4 linked regions of the Drosophila melanogaster genome follow. Changing the gene in region 4 together with the main gene of any one other region gives a genetic interaction. Each region holds a gene or a part of one and is shown on either strand. Other genes may lie near its edges.

The links.
Region 1: of brat (region 4) and Mdh1, changing one suppresses a phenotype caused by changing the other (phenotypic suppression), as found in Drosophila melanogaster (one study listed by BioGRID).
Region 2: of brat (region 4) and Pepck1, changing one suppresses a phenotype caused by changing the other (phenotypic suppression), as found in Drosophila melanogaster (one study listed by BioGRID).
Region 3: of brat (region 4) and grh, changing one suppresses a phenotype caused by changing the other (phenotypic suppression), as found in Drosophila melanogaster (one study listed by BioGRID).

The regions. Positions count from the first base shown.
Region 1 is NT_033779.5:10,393,221-10,398,146, forward strand, and holds Mdh1 (malate dehydrogenase 1), read right to left. Parts: upstream 3,113-4,926; 5' UTR 2,998-3,112; coding exon 2,995-2,997; intron 1,725-2,994; coding exon 714-1,724; 3' UTR 554-713; downstream 1-553. Other genes in the region: Cnot4 (CCR4-NOT transcription complex subunit 4), read left to right, coding at 4,895-4,926.
Region 2 is NT_033778.4:18,534,766-18,539,947, forward strand, and holds Pepck1 (phosphoenolpyruvate carboxykinase 1), read left to right. Parts: upstream 1-2,001; 5' UTR 2,002-2,027; coding exon of another isoform or gene 2,028-2,111; 5' UTR 2,112-2,272; coding exon 2,273-2,304; intron 2,305-2,468; coding exon 2,469-4,380; 3' UTR 4,381-4,651; downstream 4,652-5,182. Other genes in the region: CG45087 (uncharacterized protein), read left to right, coding at 2,028-2,111. UniProt on the Drosophila melanogaster protein: Catalyzes the conversion of oxaloacetate (OAA) to phosphoenolpyruvate (PEP), the rate-limiting step in the metabolic pathway that produces glucose from lactate and other precursors derived from the citric acid cycle.
Region 3 is NT_033778.4:17,800,232-17,805,284, reverse strand, and holds the start of grh (grainy head), read right to left. Parts: upstream 3,040-5,053; 5' UTR 1,894-3,039; intron 1-1,893. UniProt on the Drosophila melanogaster protein: Transcription factor that binds a CNS-specific regulatory element of the Dopa decarboxylase (Ddc) gene. Also interacts with sequences adjacent to other transcription units, including Ultrabithorax (Ubx) and engrailed (en).
Region 4 is NT_033779.5:19,131,924-19,136,868, reverse strand, and holds the start of brat (brain tumor), read right to left. Parts: upstream 3,048-4,945; 5' UTR 2,593-3,047; intron 1,940-2,592; coding exon of another isoform or gene 1,889-1,939; exon of another isoform or gene 1,636-1,888; intron 1-1,635. Other genes in the region: Polr1D (RNA polymerase I and III subunit D), read left to right, coding at 1,889-1,939, 3,048-3,095, 3,518-3,817; DCTN6-p27 (dynactin 6, p27 subunit), read right to left, coding at 3,845-4,385, 4,453-4,469. UniProt on the Drosophila melanogaster protein: A NHL-domain family protein that functions as a translational repressor to inhibit cell proliferation.

The sequences.
Region 1 (4,926 bases), 8.7 Mb from region 4:
CAATCTTTAGACTTCTTGACTTCATTGATTTCGTTATGAATAAATGGTATAATATAATGTTTATACCTAATAATACATGGTTAAGCTGTCGATTTATTGGTTTTTGCTGCCAGAGGTTTCAATCTGATATTAAGGATCTTTAGTTCGGGGATCCACTGCTGATTTGAGTAGATAGTTGTCAGTTGTGGGCTTAAAAACTATAAGTAATTTGTATAATTTCAGTTTTTTAAATGTCCGTCTGTCTTTCGTAGATCTATAAACGTTTGAGATTATAACTCAAAAACGGTCAAACAATTGTGACTTGCCCAAATTTTACGTTACCCGAATAGTTATCAATGATAAGTTATCAGACTGTCGCAATGGCTTACCTCATTAAGATTTGATTTGAACTCTAATTATTAATCACAGACCACCAAGGAATTTTACATTTGTGTATTTGACATGTGTATTATACACGTAGCCTTCCAAATATACATGTAAAAATACTGATCAAACTGGTAGATAAAATATGAAATCACAACAACTATAAACTCAACGGTCTATTATTTAGTTTATCAGCCATTAAGCCTTTAATCTTATAGTTCAAATCGCTAGCAACAATTAACTTGCACAAAACAAAACCATTTCAGAGCTATTTACAAAACTTTTATTGCCATGAACTTTGTTCCTAAATGCACAACTATGATGTTAGTAATTAACGTTTAAGGATCGCATTACAAGTTGGACACATTCGAGTCCAGCACGGACAGAGCCTCGTCCTTCTCCTCCTGCAGCTCCTTGCCGGTAACGCTTAACTTTGTCTTAGCGAAATCGCTGAGGGTCAGGCCAGAGACGATTTTCCATTGCTTATTCTTGATCTCGACGGGGAACGAGAAGATCACATCCTTGGGCGAATCGTAGCTGCCGTCGGAGAAGACACCCATGGAGACGAACTGGCCGGGAGCAGTGCCGTTCCACCAGTCGTGCATGTGATCGCAAGCGGCCTTCGCCGCCGACATGGCCGATGACATTTTGCGGGCCGCAATGACAGCGGCTCCACGCTTCTGAACGGTTTCCACGAAGGATCCCTGCAGGTAGCCATTATCGTTGATCGCATCCACCACGGACTTAACGGTACCATTGGCGGTCACCTTGGCCTGTCCAGCATCGGGATACTGGGTGGAGGAGTGGTTGCCCCAAATAATGATGTTCTTAACAGCAGAAATTGGCACACCCAATTTGGCGGCGATCTGGGATGTGGCGCGATTCTGATCCAGGCGAGTCATAGCCGAGAAATTTTCGCGCGGAATGGAAGGCGCATAGGAGGAGCAGACCAGGGCATTGGTATTGGCCGGGTTGCCCACAACCAGCACCTTGACGTCCTTCTTGGCGAACTTGTCCAGAGCCTGGCCCTGGGTCCTGAAGATCTTCACGTTGGCGGACAGCAGATCCTTTCGCTCCATTCCCTCCTTGCGGGGCATGGCGCCCACGAGGAAAGCGGCCGAGACATCCTTGAATCCAACAGCCGGGTCGGTGGTGGGCACCACCTCGACCAGCAGCGGCAGAGCGCAGTCGGCCAATTCCATGACCACGCCCTCGAGCACACCAACCATGGGCGGAATGTCGAGCAGGTGCAGCACGATGGGCTGATCCTTGCCGAACACCTCGCCGCGGGCAATCATGTACAGCAGGGAGTAGGCGATTTGGCCAGCGGCTCCGGTCACCACAACACGAATTGGTTCAGCCTGAAAATATATTCACTCGATTAGGAACATTCCTTTAAGTGTATTTCATCTTCCTTTTTCCATTTCTTTATGCATTTTCCGTATTTTATTTCAAGAATGTTCTTAGCTATGTTTAGATGCAGCTAAACTAATTATACTGTAATAAGGGGCGAATTTTTCATCCAGCCTTTGGCTTTGGATCTATATTTTATTTTTAGACGCTTAGCGGCGAGGAAATATATGCGAAAACTGCTAACTACACAAAATACTTCGTATATATCCAGCTCGCCATTTCCGAATTAAAACCCATTTAAGTGCAATTTCAGCAAAATTAATGCAAATATGATAGCTGAAAATAAACAAATGCGTGACCAGGTTTTTTGTTACTGTTTTGAAGTGTGTCTTTATCAGCTTGCATTTGTTGTTTACGATAGATAACGAATTTACTTTATACTTTATACTTTAGCTAGAACTCTTAAATTTCCTCTCCATTTATCTCTGAGCTGGCATTTTCAATAGTTATAGATTTAATAAAACATTTTATAAGTGATGTGCTTTGATTTTTGCTTGCTAGTGCATTTTCCGCCCATCCTCGTTACGCAATCCCAGTTAATCCTTTCCTAAGGGCACTAAAAGTAGGCCACTTGTGGCAATTGACCCCTATTTATGTTTTGCCCTAAAGAAAAGTCACAGGGCATAGTTTCCAGTAAAATGTAGCTAAAGACGGGAATTACTAAACATAACATATATTATATTTTTATATTATATATTTGTCATTGAAGAAGTTTTTAACTTCCAAACAATTGGAAGCGTAACCCCTGGGAGCATTTAGCATTTTTGATAAGATATGACAGATTTGAACTGCATGGACTTTGCTTCACCGCCTCCAATCATCCGGTTTATATAAGCTCTATCTGCTCCGGCAAGAGCTATTAAAACATGAAAACAACATTTTTATCGCCGTCAATTGGCAATTAGCTCGCATTTGCAATAAATTCATGCTTTTGGGGGCCTCTGAAAATGCAACATTTGTGCATACGTTCGAATTGACGTCACTAAGGTTTTTGGTTTTTAAGATTAGCATGAAGAGAGGTCAAATGAATGTTAAATTTCCAGAAAAATTATTGCGACCAATCACACATACCGTCATAACTACACATTATTGTGTACGGCACTTTGAATGCATATGTATGCATATTCTTCACATTTGATAATCAAATATGCAGATTATTAATAATAATTTGATGATATATACTATACGAGCGTAGCGAGAAATCGCCGGCAAGCTTACCATTTTAGAATTTCACAGGTGCAACGCTCCACGGACGAACTTCAAGTAAAAACGTAAATAGGGATCGCCAATTGGGAACCTGTTACTTTTCACAATTATTTTCCAGTCACTACTTTTTGAATAAAAGTAGCCGTGACTCCAACGCAATATGTTTTTGGCAAAATAATCGATTATGTTGCTCCTTACAAATTTACTAAATTTTTAAATAATACAAAGAGTTAAGGAGTTCTCTTATTGTTATTAATATTTACAGTTGCCAAAAAAAAGTAAATACATATATAAATAAATAAAACGATGATAAATGAAAAATTAATAGAAATATAGTTATTAAATTAGTTAATGTAAACAACAAAATTTTGCAGAAAAAGCATCAAATATCATATTTCTTTGCATTATTCTTGGTCACTTTGTTTACACATACAAAATTAGTACCTAGCTATATTTTCATATCTGAAATACGCAAATGCAGTCGTGTGAAGTGATTTTTTCGCTTGCTATTATCGATAGTTTGAGCTGTGGAAAAAAATCGAATGTTTCTTGTGGAAAAAATTGGAGTCTTTAATTTGGCGAATCCATTCGTTTACTTTGCGTTTATTTTTAGCCTTAGTACTTTCGTTTGATACGTTTGCTACCAAGTATTTATAAAAATTAAAAAGCGTTCAAAAACACAATTAACCATTGCAACGTCGTTTCATCAGCTATTCAGAGTGAATAAAGAAAACCTACATCACACCTACAATCATACGTGTTACGTGTACATACATATGTGTATGTATATATACTCTTGCTTATGTACATTAAACATTTGCCGTTTTCCTTTCCAACCAGCCTTTTGTTATTGTCTAAAAATCGATTTTCGTTACCCTTTTATACGAGTTCGTGATTTGCCATAATTAATAAACAATAAATCACAGCTGTGGTTTGGTAAATAAGTGCAGCGTGAACAATGTACGCTTATGTACATAAACACTCGCATATGTGTGCGTATATAGTGGATTAACAAATTGCTGATGTACACATATTAAGTGCTTTTACAATGCATACGCAAATATCGATGCAAATTCTAGTAATTTTGCTTAATACCCACACGTATTTGCATGTCGCCATACTCACACACATGTTCGGTTATTAAACTCTTGAAAATTGTACTTTCTTTTTGATTGTGTTTTAAAGAGAGCTTCCGTTTTAAATTTGAGAACTTATTGATGTACGCAGGTAGTGCGTATATTTCCGAGCTGGTTTGATTTTTGTTATGAAAAGGTATCCATATTTAAAAATACTTTTTGTGTTTGTTTGTCTGCGTTGTAGGCATATGCGTGTGTGTGTATATACACAATAAAATTACCTGACGGCAAACACCTTCTTCGGGTCGCATTAAATTGTCTTTTTTCAAAGGTTGCATAAAGTCAACAATACCACGAATACAATGGGCAGTATGTAAACAATTTTGCACAAATCGCAACTATCAAAAAAAGTGTTAAATATGGATATTAACTAAAGTGGTCAGCTACAGGTGCCAAATGTCCACAACTTGTTTTTCGTAGTGTGCAAAATAACGGGGTGATTCATCTAATAAAGATCGCATGCCTTCCTTTTTTTTAGGTGTTTTAGGTAGACAAAATCATATATGCATAGTTTAGAAGTACAAGACAAGGGAATATTCTTCTTATTTCAATGCAGGTTCATACCAATCTGATGAAAATCCATCCTACAAAAGCTATCCTTGAGATTTAAGAATCTACACACAAAACTTCATCCTAATCAAATATATATATATATATATATTATTTATACATATAAATTTTATTTACTTTCTACAGCTTGGTTCTCATCATTATCAACAATTTTATAAAAATTACAACTGCGAGTACTTCATCACTAATCAACAAATCACCTGAAAATGAACGGCCTGAGCAGCAATGATGATGCAGT
Region 2 (5,182 bases), on a different chromosome or scaffold from region 4:
TCCATAATGCCGTTTAACCTAACTTATCAACAGATCCACGCGATGAAAAACAAGCAAATAAATGCCAGAAAAAGCCAAAAAGAAAGTAAAGTTTATGGGTGAACCTTTGCAATTTTCGGTGGGTTTCCAAGGACTGATTACTAAATTCAAAGCGTGTGGTGTGATGTACACTATGGGGTGAACAGCGATAAAAAGCCAATAAGCCAAGAAACCAAAAGGCAAAATAGCTAAGAAATCGAATCCCTTAAAATAGTTCATGGGCAATGTAAAGATCCTCATAGTGATGTTTTCCCTCGGAAAGTTTTCCTGGTCGACAGCACAAATCCGGGTCTGATCTATATTTAGACGAACTCAGAGGCTCGTCCACTGATAACCCGCCCGGCTCCCTCCTCCCCATTGCCTTCTTCTCAACCAATCGCATTATTGATTATGCATATATTTAGCGAATCGATCGTCTATTGACGTAAATTCCAAATAAGCCCGAATCATCGAAATGCGCCAAGTGGCGGTTAGGTGAGAACAGGAGCGAAGCAGTTAGAGTCTGAGTCCAAGTCCAAGTCTGGGTCCAGCAATTAATGCCGATGATGAAGATTATCAGGCCCAACTAGAAAAACAAGTCCATAGTTATAAATAAACCAATCGAAAATCACGGCAACGCGTGTAGACGAATTCGATTTAATTCGCAACTGGACTTTTCGTAAAGGGAGTCAAAAATGGGGACGGGGACTGTAAGAGGGGGGAGCCAAGGACCAAGGACAACCATCTGATCAGGTTTCTCCAAGGACGTTGGACGCCAGTCTCTTCTGGGTCTAGGCTAAGTGAGCGGCTTATTATAATTATTTAAAACAATTTTAATAAAAATTATATTTGGCCTATTTGTTATGAAGTTGAATTAAGCTTGAAGTTTTAAATTAGAGTTGGCAAGCGTTTTAATTTAACATTATAAATAACACTGCTACCAAATAAATGTTTACGCAACCAATGAAAAACAGAGCCATATTTACGTGCAACTTTCCCGACTGCTTCTGTTGAACTTTTTCTTCGAGTACCCAGAGGATTCTGGGTCTTCTGGTAAACTGGATTCGGGGTACAAAGTCACACCACCGGCAGCACCTTCATTTCTCCTTCCCCAAAGACAAAAACAAGAGTGGCCACATGACAACCATCCGGGCCATGCTATTCTTGGTGCGCCCCCAGAGTCACATGAATGTGAATACTGGCCTCCAAGGCGGCCATGGCCAATTGGGGAGGCCCCCGGCTCATCTGGATGCCGCGAGGGGGGCGGATTAGCATACAAATTTTCCGTCACCGATTCTACAAATAAGCGAAAGTTTTTTTCGATTTGGCAAATGTCCAAAAACGAGAGGCCAACACATGTGGTCAAACAGGCGTAAGTGGGCGGGCGCGTGTGATGTGGCCCACCATTCGATGTTGCACCAATGTAGCTATATTTGTGGCCAATGCAGCTATAGACACATCCAGAATTTACCCAGCTGCAGGGGACAACAACTGCTGTTGCCTCAGCTGTCCGTGAACTGGTTTCTATATTCGCAGCGGCCACATTTGTATCGCATAAAATCATAAATAGAATAATTAAATTAACAGCGCGAAAGTGGCAAATATCAGGGTGTTCAAAATAACAACAAACGCTTATCAATGCAAACGCACTAGAAAACGCTCTCAGCGCCACATGAAAACAACACTCTGCTGTTGCCATGTGGGGACATACCCCATATACGTATCTGTATGCCCATGCCCCCCATTCCGTAGACCCCCCCCCCCCACCCACAACCAACTCATCGTAGCTGCGCCGCCTGTGAAAAACCAAAACAATCGCCGAGCCTCCGCCGGCAGCCAATCAGCTCGTCCGGAGTTTGACCCTCTCACTCGGCGAGGCGATCGTAAAACCCGATTTGCGTGGCGATCGGCCGACTTGTTCTAGTCGCCTCGATGGCCAGGCGTCGCCGGCTGGGTATAAAAGGCCCCGGATCGGAGCAGTTGGCATCAGTTACTCGTGGCCAGAGTAAATGGAAAGATCAAGTGAAAAGCCTACTTTCAGTGGTCTGAAAATCAAGTTGATGTTTGACAAAAAACTGTGGAAGAACATATGAACGCAAAGTCCTCGACAGTAGAACACTAATTGTGATAATTACTCAAATTGTGATAAGCGAATTAAGCAAAGTGCCAAAAACCCTTTCACGCGCAGAAAAATCTAATAAAAATATTCCAAACTTTTTTTCGAGAAAAATTCATAAAAAACAACACAAACAAAATGCCTGAGCTCATTGAACAAAGCAAAATTATGTAAGTATACATTAAAGAGGTCACTCGAAACGCATTCAATGGGGGATTTTAATGGCAATTAATTTTTAATGCAGTCCATTATTTGGGGTCCCACTATCGAAGTCAGTTAATTAAATTGCAATTTTAATAACCCACTTCCCTTTTATCTCTCTCTTTCTCTTTAGCTCCGGCAATGTCTGCGGTCTGCCCCAGTTGCACAAGCTGCGCCAGGACAATTGCGGTCTGTACAGCCACATCCGTGGCATTCCCATCTCCTATGGAAATGTGGATTTGCTGACCACCGGTGTCCGTGCCTTCGTGGAGGAGGGCATCGCCCTCTGCCAGCCCGACCAGGTGCACATCTGCGATGGCAGCGAGCAGGAGAACAAGGTGCTCATCAAGAGCCTCTTGGAGGCTGGCACCATTGTGCCGCTGCCCAAGTACGACAATTGCTGGCTGGCCCGCACCAATCCGGCGGATGTGGCCCGCGTCGAGTCGCGCACTTTCATCTGCACCGAGCGGCGGGAGGAGACGATTCCCACTCCAGTGGAGGGTGTCAAGGGAACCCTGGGCAACTGGATCTCGCCCAGCGACATGGATGCTGCAGTGCAGCAGCGATTCCCCGGCTGCATGAAGGGTCGCACCATGTACGTGGTGCCCTTCAGCATGGGTCCTGTGGGCTCCCCGCTCTCTAAGATCGGAATCGAACTGACGGACTCTGCTTACGTGGTGGCCTCCATGAGGATCATGACACGCATGGGAGCCGCTGTCTTGCGCCAGCTGGCCAAGAAGGAGGAATTCGTCCGCGCCCTACACTCTGTGGGCGCCCCTGCCAACGGACAGGTGGAGCAGCCATCCTGGCCTTGTGATCCCGAACGCACCATCATCCTGCACAAGCCCGCCGAGAACCTTATTGTGTCTTACGGATCGGGCTACGGCGGCAACTCGCTGCTGGGCAAGAAGTGCTTCGCCCTGAGGATTGGCAGCACCATTGCCAAGCAGGAGGGCTGGCTGGCCGAGCACATGTTGATTCTGGGCATCACCGATCCCAAGGGCGAGAAGAAGTACATCACTGCCGCCTTTCCCTCGGCCTGTGGCAAGACCAATCTGGCCATGCTGAATCCCTCGTTGGCCAACTACAAGGTGGAATGCGTGGGCGACGACATTGCGTGGATGAAGTTTGACTCGCAGGGAGTGCTGCGTGCCATCAACCCAGAGAATGGATTCTTTGGTGTGGCTCCAGGAACCTCAATGGAGACCAATCCCATTGCCATGAACACTGTTTTCAAGAACACCATCTTCACGAACGTGGCCTCCACCTCTGATGGCGGTGTGTTCTGGGAGGGCATGGAAAGCAGTCTGGCTCCCAATGTCCAAATCACTGACTGGTTGGGCAAACCCTGGACCAAGGATTCCGGCAAGCCCGCTGCGCATCCCAACTCCCGCTTCTGCACTCCAGCCGCCCAGTGCCCGATTATCGATGAAGCCTGGGAAGATCCGGCGGGAGTGCCCATCTCCGCCATGCTCTTCGGAGGACGTCGTCCCGCCGGAGTGCCCCTAATCTATGAGGCTCGGGACTGGACCCACGGAGTCTTCATTGGAGCAGCCATGAGGAGTGAGGCCACTGCTGCGGCCGAGCACAAGGGCAAGGTGATCATGCACGATCCGTTCGCCATGAGGCCCTTCTTTGGCTACAACTTTGGCGACTACGTGGCCCACTGGCTGAGCATGGAGAAGCGTGGTCAGGTGCCAAAGATCTTCCACGTCAACTGGTTCCGCAAGAGTGCCGAGGGCAAGTTCATGTGGCCCGGATACGGAGAGAACTCCCGTGTGCTGGAATGGATCCTGCGCAGGGTCAATGGCGAATCCTGCTACGTGGACTCGGCCATTGGACACATTCCCGCCGAGGGTGCCCTAAACCTCGATGGCATGAAGGATAAGGTGGACGTGAAGGAGATCTTCTCGCTGCCCAAGGAGTTCTGGTCGCAGGAGGTCAAGGATATTCGCACCTACTTCGAGTCACAGGTGGGCGCCGATCTTCCGGCCAGCATTTACCAGCAGCTGGACGAGCTATCTTCCCGCGTAGACAACCTGTAAGAAGGATCAATGAGGAGAGTCCCATCTACAGCATCTTTACCTGCCCACACACCTGCTCACCCACTGTGCTATCCCGTACTGACCCCATCACCAACCCAATTTGTTAACCTGTCCTAAATACCTGTCCCCAATACCTTATTTAGTCGTTTCTCTAGTTCTTAAGCCGAAGACTTCCAAACTATTTATTATATAAGCAGCCATAAGATTAGCAAGTAGGCCATACAAACAGAGAAAATTAAAAAAAAAATAAAACAACACGATTTTATAACCTACATCCTATATGAGTATTTATTTATCACAAACTTGGATTTTTGAATGTTGTGAACATTCTAAACAGTATATATACAATAGTTAATATACTAATAAATGCTTTATAGCTGCATGATTTATTTATTAACGCTTCAAACAATCAGTTAAATAGATAAACAAGTTTTAATACGTTTTAGGATTTTTAAATGATTGCTAAATAAATTTCAAATGTTATAATTATAAAATGTGACACTTGTAACTAGTCTTGCTCTTGTTTCATAACTAAGACTTTTAATATTTTTCAAAATCCTAATTTATGGTGTTAATTTGCCAAGATTATAGAAATAAATTAAGTTAAATTTTTCCCACTTGCCTTATATAAGATGAAACCGCTAGATGATTTCCCAATCATCTCCTGCAACGGCTATCCACTGCATTCGCTAGCTTTCCTCGGCTCCATTTTCCAGCCCAATGGAAGGCCGCGAAAAGCTCAACAGTCGGAGCTTTTCCAGCACTTCGGATTCACAGGAATCGGGAGCCAGGAAAAAGGCAG
Region 3 (5,053 bases), on a different chromosome or scaffold from region 4:
TGAATACCGAAAGCAATTCCATTTCAAATCCCATTAAGATTTGACATAATTTGAAATTTGGATTTTACGTATCTTTACCTTACTTCGCGTGAATGTAGGGGGGGGATGGAGAGGGGTAGATGGGAGAGGTGGAGAAAAGACAAGAGAAGAAATGCGCAGCGTAACCCTAAGACATCAACGGTCAGAGTTGTTGGGCATCAATAACCAATGACTGAGACTGGAGAGTTGGTAGATGGTACACGGCAAGAAATGCCATGTCGATTCAAAACTTTGAGTTATATTATTAATCTGATGATATAGAAACTCATTGAAACGATTTTATTTTAGCTTTTGACTTCTTAGCCTCTTTAAGAATAATTATATGCATAAATAAATCCTCATAATATCACCATCAATGCATCCCCTTTTCTCTCCGTGTATTTGGGAATGTTCAGGGAAATAAAGGCGTGCATGGATGGGGCAGGGGTGGCGAGCGCGAAGGGGAACGGGAACGGCTGCAAGACGGAGTCAAGAAGTCCCGAAGAAACGAAGAAAGGCTAAAGAAAAGAAAAACAATAAACGTTAACACGAACACGAAAATAAAATAACTCTCTCACGAAGTTCCCCCTTTTTTTTGTGTGTGGGTTACATGTGCCTGTTTCGCTGTGTGCGTGTGTATCTCACGGCTGAATGTATCTGTGTGTCTGGCGGTGTGAGTGCTGCGTAGATGTTCATTTTACTGTACCATAATCGCAGCCCCAAATTGATCACCATCATCAAGAAGGGAAAAAATCAAAAAAAAAAAAAAAAGAAAGAAAATAAAAATCATAATAAAAAGAAGCTGAGAACATAAGAGGCAAAAGGCAGCACAAAAGTCCAGGGGAAAACGTAATCACAAACACTGGGCAACATCATCGATTTTCGAACAAGAAGGCTGCGCAGTAGACGTCGACGCAGAGGCAGAGGCCGAGACCGAGACAGAGGCGTCTTGATCCCTTCTCGCTACCGCTCTTTATGGCCAACTCTCCCGCTCTAGCAAGGTATTGTTGGGAGCACAACGGCAATATGACAGCAATACCAATACCTGTGCGACTTACCTGCCGCTGCCGCTGCGCAGCGGCCACTTCGAAATACGAAATACAAAATAAAACCAAACAAAGAGGAATGTGTGCGCGAAAGATACCACCAACAACACAACGGCAACAGCAACAGCAACAATGACAACAACAACAACAACAACACGAGTTGAGGCTGGGACCAAGAGACTTAGGCTACGTCTGCACAACATACAGGGTGTCCACTGTGAACGAAGGCTTTCAAAAGCAACACTGGCCAGCAGGGTAATGAAATCGTTTAGTTTCAATACATTTGAAATCATTTAAAATGCCTAGCCGTATAGATATAATAAAACTTATTAAAAAAACATGCAGAATGCATTTTAATTTAAAACCGCACGAACTAAATGGATTTTATGCCTACATCTCCAGCAAAATTGTTTAAAAATATTTCTATGAGATTGTCGTTGTCAAATAATATCGAAATAATATCCAATTACCATTTTTCTATTAACTCCATCGAATCAACTTGACGTACTATGTATAAATCTAGCTAAAATATATCTTATAGTTTGGTAATACCATATGTTTTTTAAAAATATCAAGTTTTGAAAAATATTTATTTTTGAAAAGTTTCTACACCCTAGTAGTGCCCAAAAAATGCCCGCTTTTATTGCTCTCTTTATTGGGAATACCAGCTATTGTGATGGAATCTCCCGAAAAAAGGGATCTATAAGCCGAAAACCAAATGGTCAATAGGGTGCTATATTTCTGACGGTGTAATCCCTCCATGAACCGACCAGGGCTACATAGCCTGATGCGTTTATAATTACTTCTTGGTAGGCTAAGTACTACTCACTTTTGGGCCGGGGTGCCTTGAGCTCTTGGGATCAGGATGCGGATTTTGGCACTTGGTGAGGATCTATGGCACTCGAGCACGCTGGAGCAGTGGATCGGATCGGTGGAACTGGAGCTGGATCGTGGACTGGAGTCTGTTTGCTTTGGGAGTCTGCAACCTGGGAGTCTGGAGCTGTAACTGAAATGTGGCTGCTGCTGCTGCTGCTGCTGTTGTTGGTTGCTCCGTTGTTGCTGTTTTGCTGGTGGGTGCACCTTTCGCCACTCTTTGTGCTGTTTTAGTTGTTGTTGTTGTTGTTGTGCGTCTGGGGGCTTTTAGCCTGGCTCTCTGGGCCTTTGGCTTACACAATGCTCTCGGCTGGCTGCTTTTGGCCGCTTCTAATGTGCCACTCTTTGTGGTATGTGGAGCTGTTGTTGTTTCGTTCGCTTGGTGCTGCCTTTGTTGCTGGCGGTTTGTGCATTTTGGCCTAACATTTGATGTTGCTGCTGCTCATATTGCTGCTATTGCTACTGGAGGGCGCAAAAGTTGAGGGGGCGGGTCGGTTCGGGGGCGTTGCGCCTGGCATTTGCGTTTTCAAGCCAATTTGTTGTTGTTTTTTCTATTTTTCTATGAGTATTTTCACTATTTTTTACGCGCTTTCCGCACTAGCATTTGTTATTGCTGCTGGTTCTGGCTGCTGTTATTAATCACTATTTTTATTTTGCATTTTATTATTCGCTGCTCAGCTTTGATGGCGTCTCATTCCAGCTCGCAAGCGCACACACACAGGCACACTTTAAGCTCACGCTCTCCGAGAGACATGCACACGTACACACACACAGATACTCTCGCACTCAACACACACGCACACACACACGAGGTTTTTTTTCGCTTTTTCAGCCTTCTCTTCCTCTTCGTGGCTGAAATTCGTGTGTGTGTTTTATTTAATTTCGAAAAAGTTTAAGCGCGACTTTTTGCTGTTTGTTTGGCGTAGAAACTTTTGGATTTTTCGCAAATATCGCGACACACACGCGCACTCACAGGTAATTTCGATTTGAAACGATTAGTCGGATTTGAAACTATATATTTTCGGTGTATTAACTTGCTGACTTTCCGTGTGCGCGGAAAACTTGTCGTCGCTGTCGCTGGATCTCGGCTCTTGGCTATAATGCCCAAAGAGTCAATTGGAGATTGTTCAACTGTTGAATGTGCTGCTGCCGCCGCTGCTGCCACCTCTGCCGACGTCGTCGTGCAGTTGTATTGGTGGCAAGGTGATGTCTGTGTTCGCGGCGCTGGTTAGAGAGCGCTCGATTATTATTGCTTTTTATGGTTTCATCTCTTTCGTAACTGATATTGAGCGAACGCGGCAGCGACGCCGGCAGCGCAGCGCCACTCAAATTCATTCGAATCGATGATGTTGTCTCTACACTCCCAAACACCCATACAAGTGCGATCTAAAACACAGGTAGCCCAGTGCTTCCATCTGTGTGTGTGTGTGTGGGTGCACCTGCAGAGGCCGAAACGCAGGCAGGTACAAAAGACTTAGGCAACGAACCTTCCACTTCAGCATGCACTTGCGGCGAAGGGAGATGGCAGATCAAAAGAGAGAGAAAGAGAGAGGGCAAGAAAGAGAGCCACAGCCACCCTCGACACGGGCAAACCGCTCCTGCATTTCGTATCTCCCGGACTTTGCGTTTATTTCTGTGCTGCGGCATTGCATTCATCGTCGAAAATTCGAATTCGCTGCTCGGTTCACTCTACTTCGCTTTCGAACTCGCCGCCTTGTTGTTCTGTTTTTGTTGTTGTCATTCGGCTTGTAAACCGCGTGAAAGTGGTAGTGCAATCGGGCATCAGGTAGAGAAACAAACACACACAACAGCGGGAGAGAGGTGGAGAGAAAGACCGAGATCACCGCATGCCAAGAGAAGTCCCTGCAAAAAATTACTGGATACAAAGATGCACTTTCTGAAAACTATTCCGCGGTTAAGCAGTTCAGATAATTAATATAGTTCAACTCTTAATTCTTATATAAAATACTGTTGATAGGTTTCCTATACACAAGCTAAATCACTAAAGCACTTTGTATGATTAAATATTAAAAAAATTTACGAATATTGCATATATTTAACATAAAATCAAATAAATCAACTCGAATTGTTAGCACTGTGAAATGAAGGATTTTTTTCTCCGTGTGGCATACATACGTAAAATAGTTGTGCATGTACCACAATCGAAAACGCCAAGTAGCTGCCGTGCCGCCGCAGCCTCCGCCGCTCTCTGTTCCGTTCTCTCGGCCTGGCTTTCGGTTAACCTCAGTCGGGCTCCTACAACCTCACCTCGCCAGGCGGCGCGGCAATCAGCGCTGTGTCGTGTGGATCGGCGGACGAACCGACGGACGGTGCTTGTGTGCTTTCCGCCATGGTAAAGGGTGACTCCCCCCAGCTTCCTTTCCTCCGAGCTCCCCCCACTTGGATCCCGCACTCACCAATTCACGTTGTTTGTCTTTTGGCGCTGCGCACGCGTGGAACTGTGGTTAAGAACGTAAAGCAGCGGGCGCTAGTTTTCACTGAAGCACTAGACATTCTACGCAATGTAAAATATTTATGTAAAATGCAATTTTACAGTAAATATTTAAAAAGTACATTCATGATGATAAGTAACAATAAATAAAGATAAAATTAAAAATATTTAATGTAATATGTTGAGTTCCAGGAGCCCAATTACAAACACTTGCATCTCAAGTTTGAATTTGAGTTTTATTTTCATTTCGGTTTATTGTTGCAATATATTAAATGTTTAAAACTAAATTTAGGCTTAGTTTAATCCATTTTTTATTTATTGATTTTGCCGTTTTTGCGTTTACACATTAGTTGATTTTCATGTAATAAATTTAATTTGTGGTTTTTAACTGGTCGAAACATTTCACTAATGCTTGATTACGTTTTTGTACATATACCGCTAAGTAGTATATATATGTATGCATGTATCGGTGTGTGTGTTTTGTGTGCGAGTGTGGCGGTGTATATAACTAAAAACAAACAACAATCGCATTAAATGTACTTATATATTTGGTTTTTTTCTTCAAAAAGTCTTATATCTGTCCGTTATGCAAAAGTAAGAAACCGAAGAGAAGCATTCACAAACAAACATTCCATCCCTCCGCGCGTCCCTTTGTCCAGGACAT
Region 4 (4,945 bases):
ACATCACAAATTATCAAATAAATTTATTAATGCACTGATTAACAGTAATGGTACTAAACTCGAACCTATTAATCAAATATTGCACTTTTCGGCTTAAAAATTTGTCCTGTTGTGTAGTTACTTTACTTGGTTTTTATGTTGATTTTGGGAATTCTAAAAATGCTTGCAGCTTCATCCTTCTGCGTCTCTGTCTCCTTCTCTTCTCCTCGATTCCCCCCACCCCCTATTCGTGGCCCGCATCGAATGCAGCAGATGACAGGTTTTCGCTCTCCTCCGCCCCCTGCTTTGCTGTGCTCTCCGGCTTTATGGCGCTCCCCACCTCCTTCGTGACTCGCTGCACAGGATGTTGGAATATCACGTCGTCGTGTCCGTGTTCCCGTCTGTTCCTTGTTCTCGTGCTCTTCGTCTTCGTCTTGTGCCATTGCCACTTCACCTTTTTTGTCTGCATTCGAGCTAAAGGGGCTCCCCTTTAGCCCCTTCTTCACCTCAGCTACTCCTTCCACTTCCTTTCGCTCCAAAACTGTCTGTGTATTTTATTTTATTTCGTTTCGTTTGGCTTTCGATGTCTGCAGCATCCTTGGAACTTTCTGGCACAGTGGGCCCAACAAAAATATTGCATGCACCATTGATAAATATAGATAAATGATCGAAAGAACACACCATTGCTATGTTTACTGACAGAATTATTTTCAAAAACTCGTTAAGCATTTATTAATTTACCAATAGAATCGGTAAAAACCTTAGTACCATTATACATAGAATTTTTGTTTTAAAATTCAATTTATAACCTGTCCTTGTCAAGTCAGCACACTGTGTCTACATCGTGGACAGGTATTTTGTACCTCAAGTGGATTATTTGCAATATTCATGGCACAAGGTGGAATATACACCACCCTTGGGAGGACTTAAAATTTCGGGCTCCCCCTCTTTTATAATTTATTTTCACGTGCGCAGCTATACACAAAAAATACTTTTGTATTTTGAATTAATATAATTTTAAAATGGTCTACCGTACTGCATCCTTTTTCTATGCGTTTATTACTTTCTACTAGTTTTCGTTTATTATACGTTGAAAAGATATATTACACACGAGGTGGTGAATTGTTTACGAATCAGCTTCGCGAGTAAATGCTAGGGAAGTTATTTTCTCTATGTACAGGCCATAGATCGCTGTTGCTATGTACATATGTATGTATGAATGTATATATTAGGTTGTGTTTACATACATATTTACATGGGCCCTCTGGATCGTATTCCCAGAACCATTTCGCACTTCTCTTTTTCGTATTCTCCCTTTTTGCCACGATCGTGACGGTTATATGCAGTTCCTTTGTTGTAACCACTACAAAGCCAAAATAATTGCAAACTCAAAAGAAACCCATAAAAGCAAGAATAGAGTTAGCCCAGGAGAGAGAGCAGCCACTTTTTTCGGCCAGGAGAGAGCAGCTGCCTCGCTCTCACTCACACACGAGCCACAAAAACGCCGGCTCTCAATACATACATATATACATACTTAAACTGCAGGCCATGTAAAAACAAAAACAACAAGGCAAAAGGGCGCCCAGCATAATGGGGGAAACGAAATGGAAGAGGAACGCAGCCTAGACTAAATTGCAACAACTGCAAATTGGGGGGAACGCATGGCGCCAAACGAAACGTGAGACAGACTCGCGCGCACTGCCATACATACACGAAAAGTGATTATTACAACACAAGCGCTGCGGCGCGTGGGCGCGAGGAGGGGGAACGCATGAGATAACGGAACATGCTGCCGCATTAGTCACCACCAAAGCACAACAGATGTGTGTACATGTGTGTGTGTCAGCTACCACCGAACAAATGAGTGCAAAGGAGTTAGCAGGATGCCGAGAAGGAAGCGGAGAGAGGAATGGCAAGGGGCAGGGGAGAAGAGCATAGCAACCAGTGGAAACAAAATACAGTGAGTATTGGCTAAGAGCTATTGGGTATCTTTGCAATAAAGTGTTGCATACCCTAGGGAGAAAAATATTTATAAAAATCTTATTGGATTAAAAAACCATACATATTAACGAAATTAAATAAAAAATATTTTTAAAATTTTACTGGAAACTACGTAAGATCATATTTGATTGTATTCAACCTTTTGGTTATATGCATATAAATCGTAAAGTACATGTTAAGAAACCGAATACTGTTATTCTCGTAATTGGTAATTGAAGATGCAGACTGCGAACGTGAATGCAAAGTGCCAATTAGGAAATTTAACAATTTGGAAATAAAAGTCTACATTATTGGCAATAACTAACGAAAAGCAGAACAGGAGGCACAGTAACGAACAAGATAAAGCTTTAGTTGAGCCTCTGAACTGGTATTTTTTAGCCATCACTTCCGCCTTCGCGGGCAACAGCGTCGACGGCACGGCGGCAGAGGCAGCTGCCTGTTTGCAGCTGTGTGCGTGCACAAAAATAAAAGGGCGCATGAATTTGCATAATTTTCGGAACCAGATGGGGGGCGTGGCCGTCAACAAAATTGAAATGACAACTCGAGCTTTTCAATACCGCTTATTTATGTATGCGATGTTATTAATAAGCACATGGTGGGCATTAAACAAACCTGTATTGCAGTCAATTCCTGATGGAAACGGCGAAAAAGCATGTAAAATGAATTGCCGATTCGTCGTTGTATGCGTTTTTCCCGAGTGTCGGTGTTTTTGGAGCAACTTCACGTTGAATGCATTGCGCAAATAATTATGTTTGCCGTTGCAGTTTTTTTGTTTTTGTTTTCTTCGCTCCGCTTCGCCTCTCTGCTTCTTTCCTTGCCGCCTTTTCTGCTGATGCTTTCAAACAAACCAACACTCACACACGTATGCAGAAGGCGGCTTGCAATTATGCTAATGCGGCTGTTTGCGACACTTTTTCTTCTTTTTTTTGGCCGACACCGCACAAAACTGATTTCGCAGTTGGCCCAATAAAATTGGCCACAGAACAAAGCGAATTAAGAAGCAACACACACAATTCAATGCTCTGTCTGAAAACCGCGTCCGTGTCAGAACGCGTCAAGAACTGGAGCTGGTGGAGACATCGGCGCGCTATCGATACATCGATGACGTTACCACGGTATTTATGCATTTACTTAGAAGTAACTCATTTGATTTTCAAGAATTAAAGTCAATGTTGGTATGACACTTGGCACAAGCAAACAGTAGGAATGTTTCAGAAGACATACTCTTTTATACATACACAACTTAAATTTAACAGTTTTTTCGGGAAGATATGGCTAAGTTTTACTTAAATTCAAAATGGGATAGGCATCTCTAGTTTTTAGCTACATTGCATTCCAATTGGAATAAGCCGTCCTTAGCTACTTAAATCGATATGTTTCGATGACTCTAACATCGATTGCCGAGGCATGTGCCCTGCACGTTTTTTGTAAACAAACGAACGAGTATTTGAACAAACTGAAAATGGGAGCATTGGCAGAGGTAGACAATGCATTAAATATGCAATGTGAGTAATTAATTCTTAAATACTTTCCCCAGCTGGCTGGTGATGAGAAAAACGGCGAAGGATCTCGTACTTTTGTGTTCACCAACGAGGGCCACACGCTGGGAAATGCGCTGAAAACGATCATAGCCCGCTACCCGGAGGTGGATTTCTGTGGCTACACGATTCCGCATCCCACGGAGCAGAAGCTGCACTTCCGCATTCAATCCCGTCGAGACAGAGCCATAGATATACTTAAACGGGGACTGGAGGATCTGGAGGGTCTGTGTGATCATACAATCGTTACGTTCGAAAAGGAGATGGCCGAGTTTAATGCAATGAAAGTGGAAAATTAGATATATATGTATAAAGAATACTTAAAACTAAACCACGCTGCGCGCCTTCTTGGGATCGTAGTTGGGCTTGCGTAGATGATGATAGTTTGGCAGGACCTTGCGCAGGAAGTCGATCTGCAGGGTCTGCGATCCCTGCTTGTCGATGGCCTCGCGCTGCAGGCCCTGCTCTCCATAAACAATCGTGTTTTCGGGCAGGCGTTGACTACCATGGATCTTTATTCCAGCTCCCACCACACAACCGCTGGAAACAGTGACACCGGGGCCCACATAGCACTTGCTCTCGAAGACGTTCTTATCGCCAATCTTGGCCGCTTCCACTTGGCAGCCGACTTCAAAGACATTGTGAGTGCCAATGCTCAGGATATTGTTGACATCCCAAACGGCGCCCGGCTCCAAGCGGTGAGCTACGGTGGCATATTCCTCTATGATGCAATTCTCCCCAATTATTATGGGACCTGCGTCGGCGATAACGGTGGCACTCGGATGAACCACACAGCCCGACGAGAAGGTGATGTCACCGCGCAGGCTGCTCTCCTCGCAGACCACCGCCTTGGGTAGGATTTTGATTCTGTTGAGTGGCAATAGTATAGCTGCATTTCGTAAATTAGTTTTGCAAGTACTTATGCTGCAATCACCTGTTTTCCGAGGGCATTTTCTGTTTTCTTAAATTGTTTACGTTTTCTCACGAAGGTGAGAAGGAATTTATATTTATCGATAATAAATGAGGGCTTGCAAATGAGGCGATATATTATAGCCAGATTTAGTTACTTTAAAATATCGGAAAGGTAAAAATAATGATTAAAGACCTTTGCATAAAAAAACCAGATATAACAATAATGACGTCGAACTTTATTGCTCAAAAACCAAAATAATGTTGAATACTCATTTATAAACAATACATACTGATTCCCGTTCATAGGGATAGTTGTTTTTATAAAACCCTTTTATGCAGAGAAATATTTTTTAAGAAATAAACACAATTATTTATAATGTAATAGAAGATTTCCCGTCCAAAAATCAAATTATTGCATTTTTAAACTTTCAGCCCCCCACTTGACAATCGGCGTTTTCCAGCACTTGCTTTGCATCGTGTCTATCGAGTATCCGGCGAGAGGTATCGTTTTGCCA